Drosophila melanogaster: one gene and its partners. Changing the gene in region 3 together with the main gene of any one other region gives a genetic interaction. Each region holds a gene or a part of one and is shown on either strand. Other genes may lie near its edges.

Region 1 (3,754 bases), on a different chromosome or scaffold from region 3:
TGCATCACCATCACCTCGCGAGCTGCAATTTTGTGCTCCTGAAGGAGTGTTCAAATTTAATGACACTTTAGAGCGAACCAAGTAACCTGGCCACTCACCTCAAACACTCCGGGCAGGAACATCATGAAGTTTCCAATGCTCATCAGCACATTGATCCATCCGGATGCCGTGTACATGTTGAAGTGCATCTTGCCCCACAGCCAGACGTGTCCCTGATCTCCCAGCGGTGTGACTGCCGCCTGCAGAGTTGGACCAATGATGAATCCAAGGACCTGTGCCAGCGAAACCATTGCAACGGCATGTGTGCGTTCGCTGATTCGTGTCGCAGCGGACAAATAGGAGCGGCACAGGGCAATATTCGCCGAGCTGACACCGATGAGGAACCGCGAGGAGAGCATCCAGTACTTCACATTGTCCGGACGCAGTTCCAGCGAGGAGTATATGCCACTGGCCAGCGTGAATAGAGACAGCGATAGCAGCAGTGGCAGACGAATCTTGCCCAGCTTGTTGCCCCACCACCCAAAGATCGGACTGAAGATCATTTGTCCCAGCGGATTGGCGGCCACAATCAGTCCCATAAACTCCTTGCCCGCATCGGGATCTAGCTGAAGAGAGATGAGATTGAAAAGCAGCTGGATAGCGTGACCAAAATGGGTACGCACCTTGTTGAGGTAGGGCCAAATGCCTGTGAGTATGATGCTGAAGCCAAGCGCCATCAGAAACATCGTAAAGTAGATGATGCGGACGGAGCGCCAGCGCTGCTTGTACTCCTCCAGCGTCTCCAGGCCATCGTCCACATCCTCCGGCAGTCTTTTGGTTTCAAAGCGAGCGGAAACTCGGCGGGCAAACTCCATAATTGGTTTGCTTGGCTGTGATGTTTGATGGGTTGGTTGGCTGCGATGGATGTGTGTTTGCTGGATTTCACCGCCACTGAGTCATTCTGTAAATGGATTCGAATGAGTTTTTTTTTTCTTTATGGAGCTTTTTGTGAATCGATGTGTCAGTTGTTAGACACGCTTTTAAAGTCTTGTAACTATTAATGATTCAGAGTAGAGTATGTCTCTAATCGGCGGTGCCTTCAATTACTTGAATATGGATGGAGTGGATTATCTGCCAGACGTCGCGTGATTATCCTCCTCCGAAAAAACCACAGATATGGAAAACAGTTTGCTGAACTTATCACACAAATTGCGGAAGATAAAGGCAATCGGTGCCGAAATAAAGCTGTTTGTAGTTATTCGTTGCCATGTGCGGGTGTCTGTATGTCGTTTTTCTTTAGTAAGAGCCACTATCACTGTGAGTATGCCATTGTTTTTGTTTATATGGCATGATAAGGTTCGTACAGAACGTCAGTTTATTACATGATTTCATTTATCAGAGCAAAAGAAATTGATTCGCCCCAGTACAGGGTACGAAATAAAAACATTTTGTTATAACTTTAGTTTTCGATAGTGCAACAAGTGCAGCGATTAGCCATATCAATCAGACTTGTCCACTTCCTACATCAATCAAATCATCACTGGTTGAAGATCACTCCGTCGCAAATCAATTTCTAATTGATTATACCAATTGCCAATTGATGCAGTTGGTTTTTTTTTTTTCTTTTTTTTTTTAGTTGAGCGCCAGATTCTCGTTCTCGAAGTACCCAAACACACACACACACATCTTTCAGATACAAGATACTAGATATGAGATAGCGACCGTTGATCTTTGGCTGCCTATTGTTTTTTTCGTTAAGCTACTTTGCCTTTGCACTCCTTGCTTTGATTTTCAAATTACTTAGCTTACTAAGTTGTATTTTGTTTTTCGTCACACACTGAAGCAAAACTATGTAAATTAAATGGAAACATGCACTCTTTGTTTTTTTTTAAATTACTCTTTCTTTGTCTCACTCTCGCTCTCCCGCTTCCTCTCACTCGATTTTTGTAATATTTAACCAAACGCAAAGAAAGCGCTTTTCTCCCTCTGCCAATGGCTATATCTGTATCTGTATCTGTATCTGCGTGCATGTATCTTTCTGTGCATCTAGAACTCAAGGGCACCCCCCTACCGCGCGCATCCTATTTGTGGGGCTTCCAGCGGGTAATGCACCTTTTACCAATCGGGCTATGTCTTTTTAACTACCTGTTGCAGCGGAACAGCGACGACCACTGGAGATGAACGAACGCGACGGACTGAACTGAACTGACGCGGCAGCGCCTGTTGCCAACAAATCGGACGACGCGTCGCCACAGAGCGTGATGGAGCTGCCCGAAGAGAGAGAGGAGCCAACGGCAGATAGCACCCGCGCCCGAAAGTATGCTACTTAGATACTCCGAAATCTATGGCATCTGTAAGATAGATCGCAAGGGTTTTCTATTCAGGCAAAATATTCCTAAGCATAGTATAGTAACTTGTTATCAATCCACAATCCATGTAACACCAATACTCCTTCTTCAAATTATCATTATTATACTAGATCATCAGTAGAATAGATGTATCTTTGAGATTCGATTCGAGATCCAATTGAAATAATAGGGAAACTGAAGAATGGAGTTCTATAGAAACCTGTCTAACCTACCAAACTTCTACCTGCGTGTGTGAATACTATAATGACTCATTGGAAAACGATCTTTAAGAACGCCTTCATATTGTTACAGGTACATAAAGATCTTACTACTTCAGATACTTTAATTTCGAACGCTTCTATCTTCGCTGCTACTGCAGAACACTATAATGTGCAAATTTATATTTATTTTTGAGAGACCAAAATGCCTTATAAATATACAACAAATGATTATAATAATAAAAGTGAAAGTAAATTGGGTATGTTGGGTCTACAGATTTCCCTGTGCCTGCTGCAAACGCATCAGTCGCCGCTGCCTCAGCCAGGGCAGCAGGAGTCCACCTGGACGCTGGCCGGGAAGTGGAGCTCGTGGGGCAAGGTCCATTGGGGCAGCCAGGGTGACGGCTTCGGGGATGATCTCATTGCGCCGGAAACCACGGAAGGTGGCGCTAGGCCTGCGTGGCACACGATCCTCAGGCTGGCGATCCTTTTTCTGCGGCACATCCTCGTTTCTAATATTCAGGCTAAAGACATCCCCAGTGCGTGGATCGGAGGACAGATGACTGACCGTATCTTGAAGCACCTTGGGTATCCGCTCCACCACCTGCAAGGCATCGCGGAGTGGCCGAATCTCTCGCTCCGGTTGCTTGCGCGACTGCTCCTTGGACGCCTTGCTCTTGGCGCTCTTTCGGAACAAAGGACTCTTCTTGTTCTTCCGCGAGAGTGCATCCTTCTTAAGTGGAGCGGGGCGAGTCAGTCGCGAAGCTGACTGCTCCAGGAACCATGGTTCCCGACGAGCCGGCTCCTCCAGCTCAGCCTGACGCTTGAATGCCGATGGCTTGGCTGATGCACGCTGCTGCTTCTGGGCTCTAGTGCCCAGTGGCGAGGGACGCACCAAGGAACTGGCAAAGTCATTGAACCACTCCAGGTGATCGACGGACCTCTTGTGCCTTATCTGCTCCGAAGCCTTGGATGGCGTTTCTAAGCCATTGGCCGTACGTTGAATGACCAACTTTGTGGAGGGCTTGTAGATGGTTATGTTTGAGCGACGATTTCGAGGCGACTGCATTGAAGTGCTGGCGCTCCTGGCCACCAGATCTCGCTTCTGCTCGAACTGCTGTGCGTTGCGCACAAAGCGATTGCTGCTCGGTCCCTGGATGACGATTTCGAATGGTAGATTCAACGTCTTGGCATTCATCTGCATGGTGC
Region 2 (3,754 bases), on a different chromosome or scaffold from region 3:
GATGAACACAAGTTCCACCAGGAGGAACTGCGAGAGCAGAAGCTGCGGGAAATCGAAGAGGAGGAACGCAAGAAGTTTGAGGGCACCCGTGTGACGGTGGAGTCCTTCCTCAAATGGAAGCTCGAATTCGAGGAGAGCACCGGCATTGCCGCCAAGCGGGAGAAGAACAATGTGTCCAAGAAGCAGACCGGACGCGAACTCTTTATGTGCGACAACACGCTCAACGATTCGGATATCAAGTTCCTCCTGGAGGCGGGTGAAAACATTGAAAATGTCAAAATCGATGAGACGCTGTTCCAGGATATTGGCGAATTGGATTTGGATGACGATGATGATGAGGATTGGGTGCCCGGGGCGGACGACGACGACGATTAAGCTACAAACTGTGTCAAACTACTCAAAGGCAAATTCGTGTATTTTATATAACATTAAATGCCAACTTCTTTATTAATCTAAGTTGTTTGGGCTTTGCATGCTCATTTCGGAAAGACGGAAACTGGTCTCCGCTTTAATGTCATCCAGGTCGAAGAACTCCTCATCGCTCTCCTCCTGCTTTTTCTTCTCTTCCACCTGGCTTTTCTTAACCACTGGCAGTTTCTTGTTGGGAAAATTTAGGTTGGACCAAGAGCCGGGCTCCAGCTTGGGCAGTTTAATCTCCACTTTGGTGCCATACATATGCGCGCTTGCATTGCTCACATTCACAATCTGCAAGGGGATACGATTAGTCTGTTTACCATGAAATTCAGTTGGACTTGGGACTTACTCCGCGCAATTCCAGGTCCAGGTCAAACCTGGCGTTGTCCTGCTCGGGAAATACCAGGTTGACGTGCAGCCTGATGGGGTTCAGCTCTATCACGCTCTGACTGTAATCGTATTTTTTAGCATAAATGGCCATCACCACATTGGTGGCCGTCTGGTGCCAGTCGTAGCGACATTGCACAACCTTTTTGTCGTCGTTCTATAATAGGGGAGTTTTTAAAAATTCTTCTTGTGTGTTCCAAGTCTCTTTGCTTTTTAGGGCACTCACCTCCTTGACCCATTTGTGCTCACCGTAGGTACAGCCCTTTTGCGCCATAAACTGGGAAAAGTCCGAGGTTCGTTTCTGGCAGCAGGACCAGAATTTCATGCCCTCGTGAAAGATTGGCACGCCCGGATGGTAGGTGCACTCGCCAAAGTCGCTGCTGTTACCCGTAAAGGAGTAGGTGCAGCCGTTATTCTTGCAAGTGGTTCCCACCTCAATGGCGTCGCTGGACTTTTGAGCAGCCGGCGTTTTGACTGCAAAAACCATGTCTTTCAGGGCAGGAGCCACGGTGGGCTGTATAACGGTTAGCGGCGAATCAATGGGCGGACGCGGCAGGGCTTCCCGGATGGGTGCCCGCACCTCAATTACCTCATCCTTGTCGGACTCATCTTTAACAGGTTTCTCCGGCTCTGGTGGCTTCACATTCGAGTGCTTTGCCAAGGTGCAGCCCTTGATGTTGAGGAACTCGGTGAAGTCGACCGACTTCTTGTTGCAGCAGGACCAACCCTTATAGGCGTCGTGGAAGAAAGGTTCACCCGGATGGTGCCGACAAGATTCTGGGCGGGATTACGGGGGGTTAAGCACTCAGCAGGAATGTGCATTGCCGGCTGCTTACCATCATTGTTGGTCTGCGGATCGAAGAGTTGGCCACAGCCTCTGTTATAGCATTGTTCCATGATTATTAAGTTTCGGTTGAACTAATTATGTATGTTTTGGTTTAACTAAATGTGTACAAATTTCGCTTAAAATCGAGAATATTCCTCTATAAGCAGATGTGTTCCATACGTTTTTACCATCAGCAGGGGCACCGATATCATGGCGTTAGTGAGTGATGGTCACACTGCGGGGGCTAGCGCGAAAATTCAAAATGATTGTTAACCTTATTTTCATTTTAAATTGTGCGTAATAATAGTATTAGTATACTATTCCAATTGAACTTATTTGCATTTGTAACTCTTCGAACTTTTTCCTGGTTAAATATGTGTTCGTTGAAAAATGAGTGCACTTCTTATAGTATAAACGTAACCAGTGATTTAAATACCTTGAAACATGTGACAAATGGCTGCTTTTTTGCCCACCGATCATCGCTGGTGGCTTTGGAAAGGCCAACAGTCGCGAATGGAGAGCAATTAAAAGTGATAGTAAATTTGGAATTATGTTAATTGCTGCCACTGTTTGGCCGGTCAATGCGGTCTTTATAGAATTTGCTAATTGCAAGACGGAATTGAACTGAAAACCATTATTTGCAAATCACCTGAAGGTCAGCAACCGACTGTGTTTGGGCTACGTGATATTCGAACGGAACTGCCAAGCGACATTTTCAAATTAGATCAAAGAATGGGCGGGATACTGGAGTGCTGGTCTCTGGCGGCTTCTAACTGGTTCCCGGAGGCCTCGGGTAATGTCTCCGCCTTGCATGATTGTTTATTTGTCGCACTCAGTCATAGACACACGTTTTCGCGGTTTCATTTTCATTTATTGCCCGCGGTGTCAGGGCATAAAATATATTTGCGCACAAGAAGAAAAAATGAACTGCCCCATTGACTACAAAAATTTCTCTCACTTCGAACGAAAAGTGTATTCAAATTCATCAATCTAATAAATTTTACATTTTATTTCAATAGTAACAAGGAATATTTCAAATATTTTGAAGCATTAACCTCTCGTTTTGAAATCGATATAATTTTTTCTCAGTGCAGTCGTTGAAACTGTCGTTTCGCTGGAAATTCTTGTGGTCAACAAGGTTATCAACACGTTAGCCTGGCTCTGTTCCTGTGTCGCACTTCAAAATATGAAATCAGAGAGAACGCTTTAGTCGAGTTTCACGACTATAAGATACCGATTACTCAGATTGTCGGAGTACGAAAAAGATATTGCAACATTTTTTTTTTATATTCCTAGAAATCGGCAAGATTGTGGGCATGACAATCTTCTAAAACTAATTAGCTTTCTAGCTTTGATATTTTCCAAGATCACAGAGGTCTGGCGGAGGAGGTCAGATCGACTTGCCCAGTGATCCTGATCAATAGCTCCTCATTCTGCCTGTTACAAACCTAACTAGTATACTCTGCGAGCATATTTATGGTATAATTATGACAAAGTCGGCGTTTTCCGCAGCTACACAGGCACATTCGTCGCTTTAACTGCGGCTGTGAATCATGCCATGATCCCATTGTTGTGCAACCGACCAAGAATTGTGGACTTTTTCTGGTGCGGTGCAATTCTGGCATTTGGCTTTTGACAATCGCAGAAATGCAACATATAAATAAATAAATAAATAAATATAGCGGACACTGTGGTCGCAACAGCGCCAGTGTCAGTGGAAATTAACACCGCCCGTTTTGACTTCGGCTTCGGCTTTTGTCTTTTGCCCCGGCCGCCCGGTCGTATACGTAATTTAGCATACAATGGCGAGCGCGAGCAAGAGCCAAATAACATGCAATTGTGGCACTGCTGTCATGTCATGCTGTACAGATTTCCCGCAACGGTAACATTCGCAGCATTCCAGAGCCACTGACGATGCCCAAGATGTGCGTGCTGCAAATGCCCGTCTACCATTGCCAATACTTATTTAGGCTACTAATCCTTATCGCCAATTGCCGATTGGCTGCCAATTTCCCAGCTGAAAGCTGAAGGGATGTTGCAATTAGGCCGCCGCAATGCAAATGATCTGTGCGCTGCACGCTCTCAAGTTCGTTTCCCAAGTCTTTTGTTTGCCAATCCAAATTTCAG
Region 3 (3,754 bases):
TTTCGGGCCCCCAAACAGAGCGAGGCCAGCGCGTTGAGCAGAAACAGGCGCTTCGTGTCCCGCGTCTCCTCCAAACAGAGCATCGAGTATATTTCGAATGCATTTTCGGCGGCCGATCGCTGTGGATCCAGGCGGTAGAAGTCCTCCGGATCCTGCGAAACTGTAATGGAGGAAAAGTTTCATTGCTTTTCTTATCAGATCCGTACACACTAATTACTAATTAAAACAACCTTTTATGAATGAATAATATGGCCACATCGATGTACTTGAATATTACATAAATATTATTTGCAAGTAATAGCTTTTTCGGATATGCACATGTTCAAATCATCATAGTACATGGGGTTTTTACGGTCAAGAGGAGGTGCACACATGCATGCACACAGCGACTTGCATTAGAAAGCCATCAAAGTGAAATTGATCGTGGATCGTGGAAAGCTAATCAGCTCAGCCGCTGCCTCTGTCTCTGCCGACGCTGACGCAGGCTGTGCACGTGAAATGACAACAACACAGCGTCATAACAGTTTCGTTGTTGTTGCAGTTGTCGTCGTTACAGCTAACTGTACTTGCATGATGGATTTGGTTGGAAAAGGGGGAGAGCGACAGAGAGAGAGAGAGAGAGAAAGGAGAGAGCATGACGAGCGAAGAAGAACGAAAGAGTGAAGGACACGATGAATGGAAGAAACCAAGCTGAGCATTTCGTATGTTATTGTTTTTGTAGTTCTAGTAGTGGCTGTTGTTATTGTTGTTGTTTCTGCTGTTGCTATCGCTGTTATTGTTATGGTCGATGTTTAGTGAATGTCTATGTTGTTGCTTGTGCTGCGTCATCGTTTTTGGGGGCTCTCTCTATGCTGTGGCGACCGTTCTATAAATAATCGGCCAACATGTAGTCGAAGAATTTGGTCAAATGGCAACAGCAACAACAACAAAAGTAACCAAAATAAAACCAAAAAATACATAAATAAAAATAAAAACTAAATAGAAAATAGAAACGAGAACAACAACAAATGTATAAATAACGGAGGAAACACTGAGGAGATCAGGAGAAATGTTGATCAGAATGCCATGCTGTCGATACATGCGTACATCACTGTTGCATCGCTGCTACATCGTTACCGTTATGGGCAATGCTGCCAGTGTGCTCATTCCCGCCCCCCTCAACAACATATTATTGTTGTTGCTAGTTGCCATCAATGTCAACAAAAAAAAGAACCCTTTGCTACCAATTATTGGCCAAGTCCAATAAACAGAAGGCTGCTGGAGGGGTAGGTGGGGTTGGGGATGAGGTCGGCTCAAGATCCACAACAACAACAACAACAACAACAGCTGCTGCTGTAATGCTTATGCCTCGCCGTAATGCAAAATAATGCAAACTGAATGGAATGGCGGGGGTCGGTGGGGCGAGCCATGTGAGACAAAACGTCGAACGGAGTGATTGCGCCATTATGCCGATGCCACCGTCGCCGTGTTTGATGTCAATTAGCACATTCGTTACATTACCTTTGATGCGTAATTGTAATTTGCTCCGCTTGCCAAAACGCCAACTGGAATGTTGGGAGGCCATCGCGTTGCTTCGCCTCTTTTTCGATTCGCCGATGGGGGCGTGGCGAGGCGGGTGCGGCGCCGTCGCCCGCTCGCCTATTAGCTGTATGTCGAACACACACCCACACACCACAACACACAGATCACACTTAAATATATTGCTTTTCAATTTCACTTGCTGCACAATTTACATTTTTTTTATTGCTCGCCGCTTTAAAGTGACCGTCGTCGGCGCAGGAGAAAAAACCAACTACGAAGCGCCACCGCGGGCACGAGAATTTGGAATATTTACGCGACTTTCAATGAAAAACATTTCATTTTACACTTACATCTTACATTTACATTTGACATACAATTTTGCTTGCTTACTTCCTCTGAAAGGCTAGTGTCTGTAATATAATGAATTTCTTGTGCACTAATTATAAAAATTGAACGGAAATATTCAAAATATTACCTGAGAAATTCGAGGACAGCTGAATTACCCCCAGATAGGAATTCTCCTTATCGTAGAACTATTTTATATGATTATAAATTACGAAATTAAAACAAATACTGTAAGGGAAAATTTACTTAATATTCTTCTGCAAGATTATTTGGTGACTTTTTTTTTGGAGTCAATATATGTCATGTGTATTTACTCTACTTACTAATTTACATCAACTTGTTATATTAAAGCATACCGAGGTGCACAATTAATTTTCGTCACAAAGTAACAATGCTATTAACATATCGTAAATACCACACATGCAGTTGGTATTTTCGAAGGAGCCGCAAGCGGTTACACGGCCGCCCAGACTGTTATCGAAGTCGAGTATGCTCTTCCTCTTCGATAAACGCAATATTTTGCAATAAAGTAAATTAGTTTTAAAACCACAGTGGCGAGCACTTTCTGAGCAACTCGGCAGCCGCAAGCACTGTTCGCGCGTATCCGGTGCACAGGGTGAGCCCTTCGCGAACGCGATACACCCCACTACGCTCGAATTGTCCCGAAATCGTTGTTTTTGTTGTGTGTGGTGTTGGCTAGTGTTGTGCTCTTCATTGCCTTCCGTTTTTGCTCTGTGTATCTGTGCTCGGGTTCACCAATCCAATCGCAACGGCCAACTGATGAGTCTCAATTGTGTCCATTAACGCGACGCGAGTAGCACCCACCCACCCTCCTCCTCCCCCCTCCAACACTTGCCAGTTGGGCCCGCGCCCCACTTCACACCATCACCGCCAACGCCAGCGCCCCACCCGCAACCCCTCCTCCAAATCCGAAACGAAAACCAAATCCCAATCCATATAGTAATACCCAACCCAACCACTGCGAGATGGCCAGCAGCAGTAGCAGCAACAGTTTTGGGGGCGTGGCCGGCGTGAACGGGGATCTGTGGCGCGAGTGCGTCGCCTGGCTGACCAGGTGCAAGGTCATTCCGCCCGACCACAAGGCCGCCCAGCCGGACGCCGAGATCCGCATCCTGGCGATGACGCTGCGCGACGGCGTGCTGCTCTGCAACCTGGTCATCCACCTGGACCCCAGCAGCTTGGATCCGCGCGAGTTCAATCGCAAGCCGCAAATGGCACAGGTGAGTGAAATGCGAGAAGCAAGTGACTTTGCTGGCAAATTGTGAATGGGTGGCACACTCTAAACCTTGTAAACAAGCAACACTGAGAGAAATAGGGGGAAGTATATCTGTAAAAATAATTTAAATCATTAAAACAAACATCACTTACAATTAGTGACAATAATTGGCCAAAACATCATAAATTCATAAAGAAATAGAATATGCCAAATTTATGCACGAATTTGCATGTGTGAATAAATAAATAATAAACATAAATATATATAAAATGAAATAAATGCGTTTCCAGAGAAAAATTACTGTAATAATTTAACGAATTCGATCGAAAATGTGTTTAAAATGTGCCGAAATAAATTCTCCGAAATCCCATATTTTGTTCAGTATGCCAAATTAGAGTGAAATATTATTGAACAATATGATTTATTATTTTATTTTTAAGTACGTCTGTTTTGAGTGAGAGTGACCTGAAATATAATATAATGCCAAATACAATTAGAATGGCACGTAATTAAATTGAATTGAATTTAATTGATCCATTGCAGTTCCTGTGCAGCAAGAACATCAAGTTGTTCCTGGACGTGTGCCACAACAACTTCGGGATCCGGGACGCCGATCTCTTCGAGCCGACAATGCTGTACGACCTGACCAAC

The links.
Region 1: of rictor (region 3) and Cln7, changing one suppresses a phenotype caused by changing the other (phenotypic suppression), as found in Drosophila melanogaster (one study listed by BioGRID).
Region 2: of rictor (region 3) and mora, changing one suppresses a phenotype caused by changing the other (phenotypic suppression), as found in Drosophila melanogaster (one study listed by BioGRID).

Annotation. Positions count from the first base shown.
Region 1 is NT_037436.4:7,343,006-7,346,759, forward strand, and holds the start of Cln7 (Cln7), read right to left. Parts: upstream 2,179-3,754; 5' UTR 2,125-2,178; intron 1,380-2,124; exon of another isoform or gene 1,087-1,379; intron 941-1,086; 5' UTR 855-940; coding exon 663-854; intron 606-662; coding exon 99-605; intron 39-98; coding exon 1-38. Other genes in the region: CG14834 (uncharacterized protein), read right to left, coding at 2,817-3,754.
Region 2 is NT_033777.3:24,184,424-24,188,177, reverse strand, and holds mora (morgana), read right to left. Parts: upstream 1,820-3,754; 5' UTR 1,699-1,819; coding exon 1,638-1,698; intron 1,579-1,637; coding exon 1,028-1,578; intron 959-1,027; coding exon 764-958; intron 706-763; coding exon 448-705; 3' UTR 393-447; downstream 1-392. Other genes in the region: CG5515 (uncharacterized protein), read left to right, coding at 1-375. UniProt on the Drosophila melanogaster protein: Regulates centrosome duplication and mitotic spindle dynamics. Also involved in controlling the size of dendritic arbors. May act as co-chaperone for Hsp83.
Region 3 is NC_004354.4:19,259,487-19,263,240, forward strand, and holds the start of rictor (rapamycin-insensitive companion of Tor), read right to left. Parts: upstream 1,755-3,754; 5' UTR 1,565-1,754; coding exon 1,501-1,564; intron 358-1,500; exon of another isoform or gene 259-357; coding exon of another isoform or gene 231-258; intron 161-230; coding exon 1-160. Other genes in the region: Vav guanine nucleotide exchange factor, read left to right, coding at 2,853-3,107, 3,647-3,754.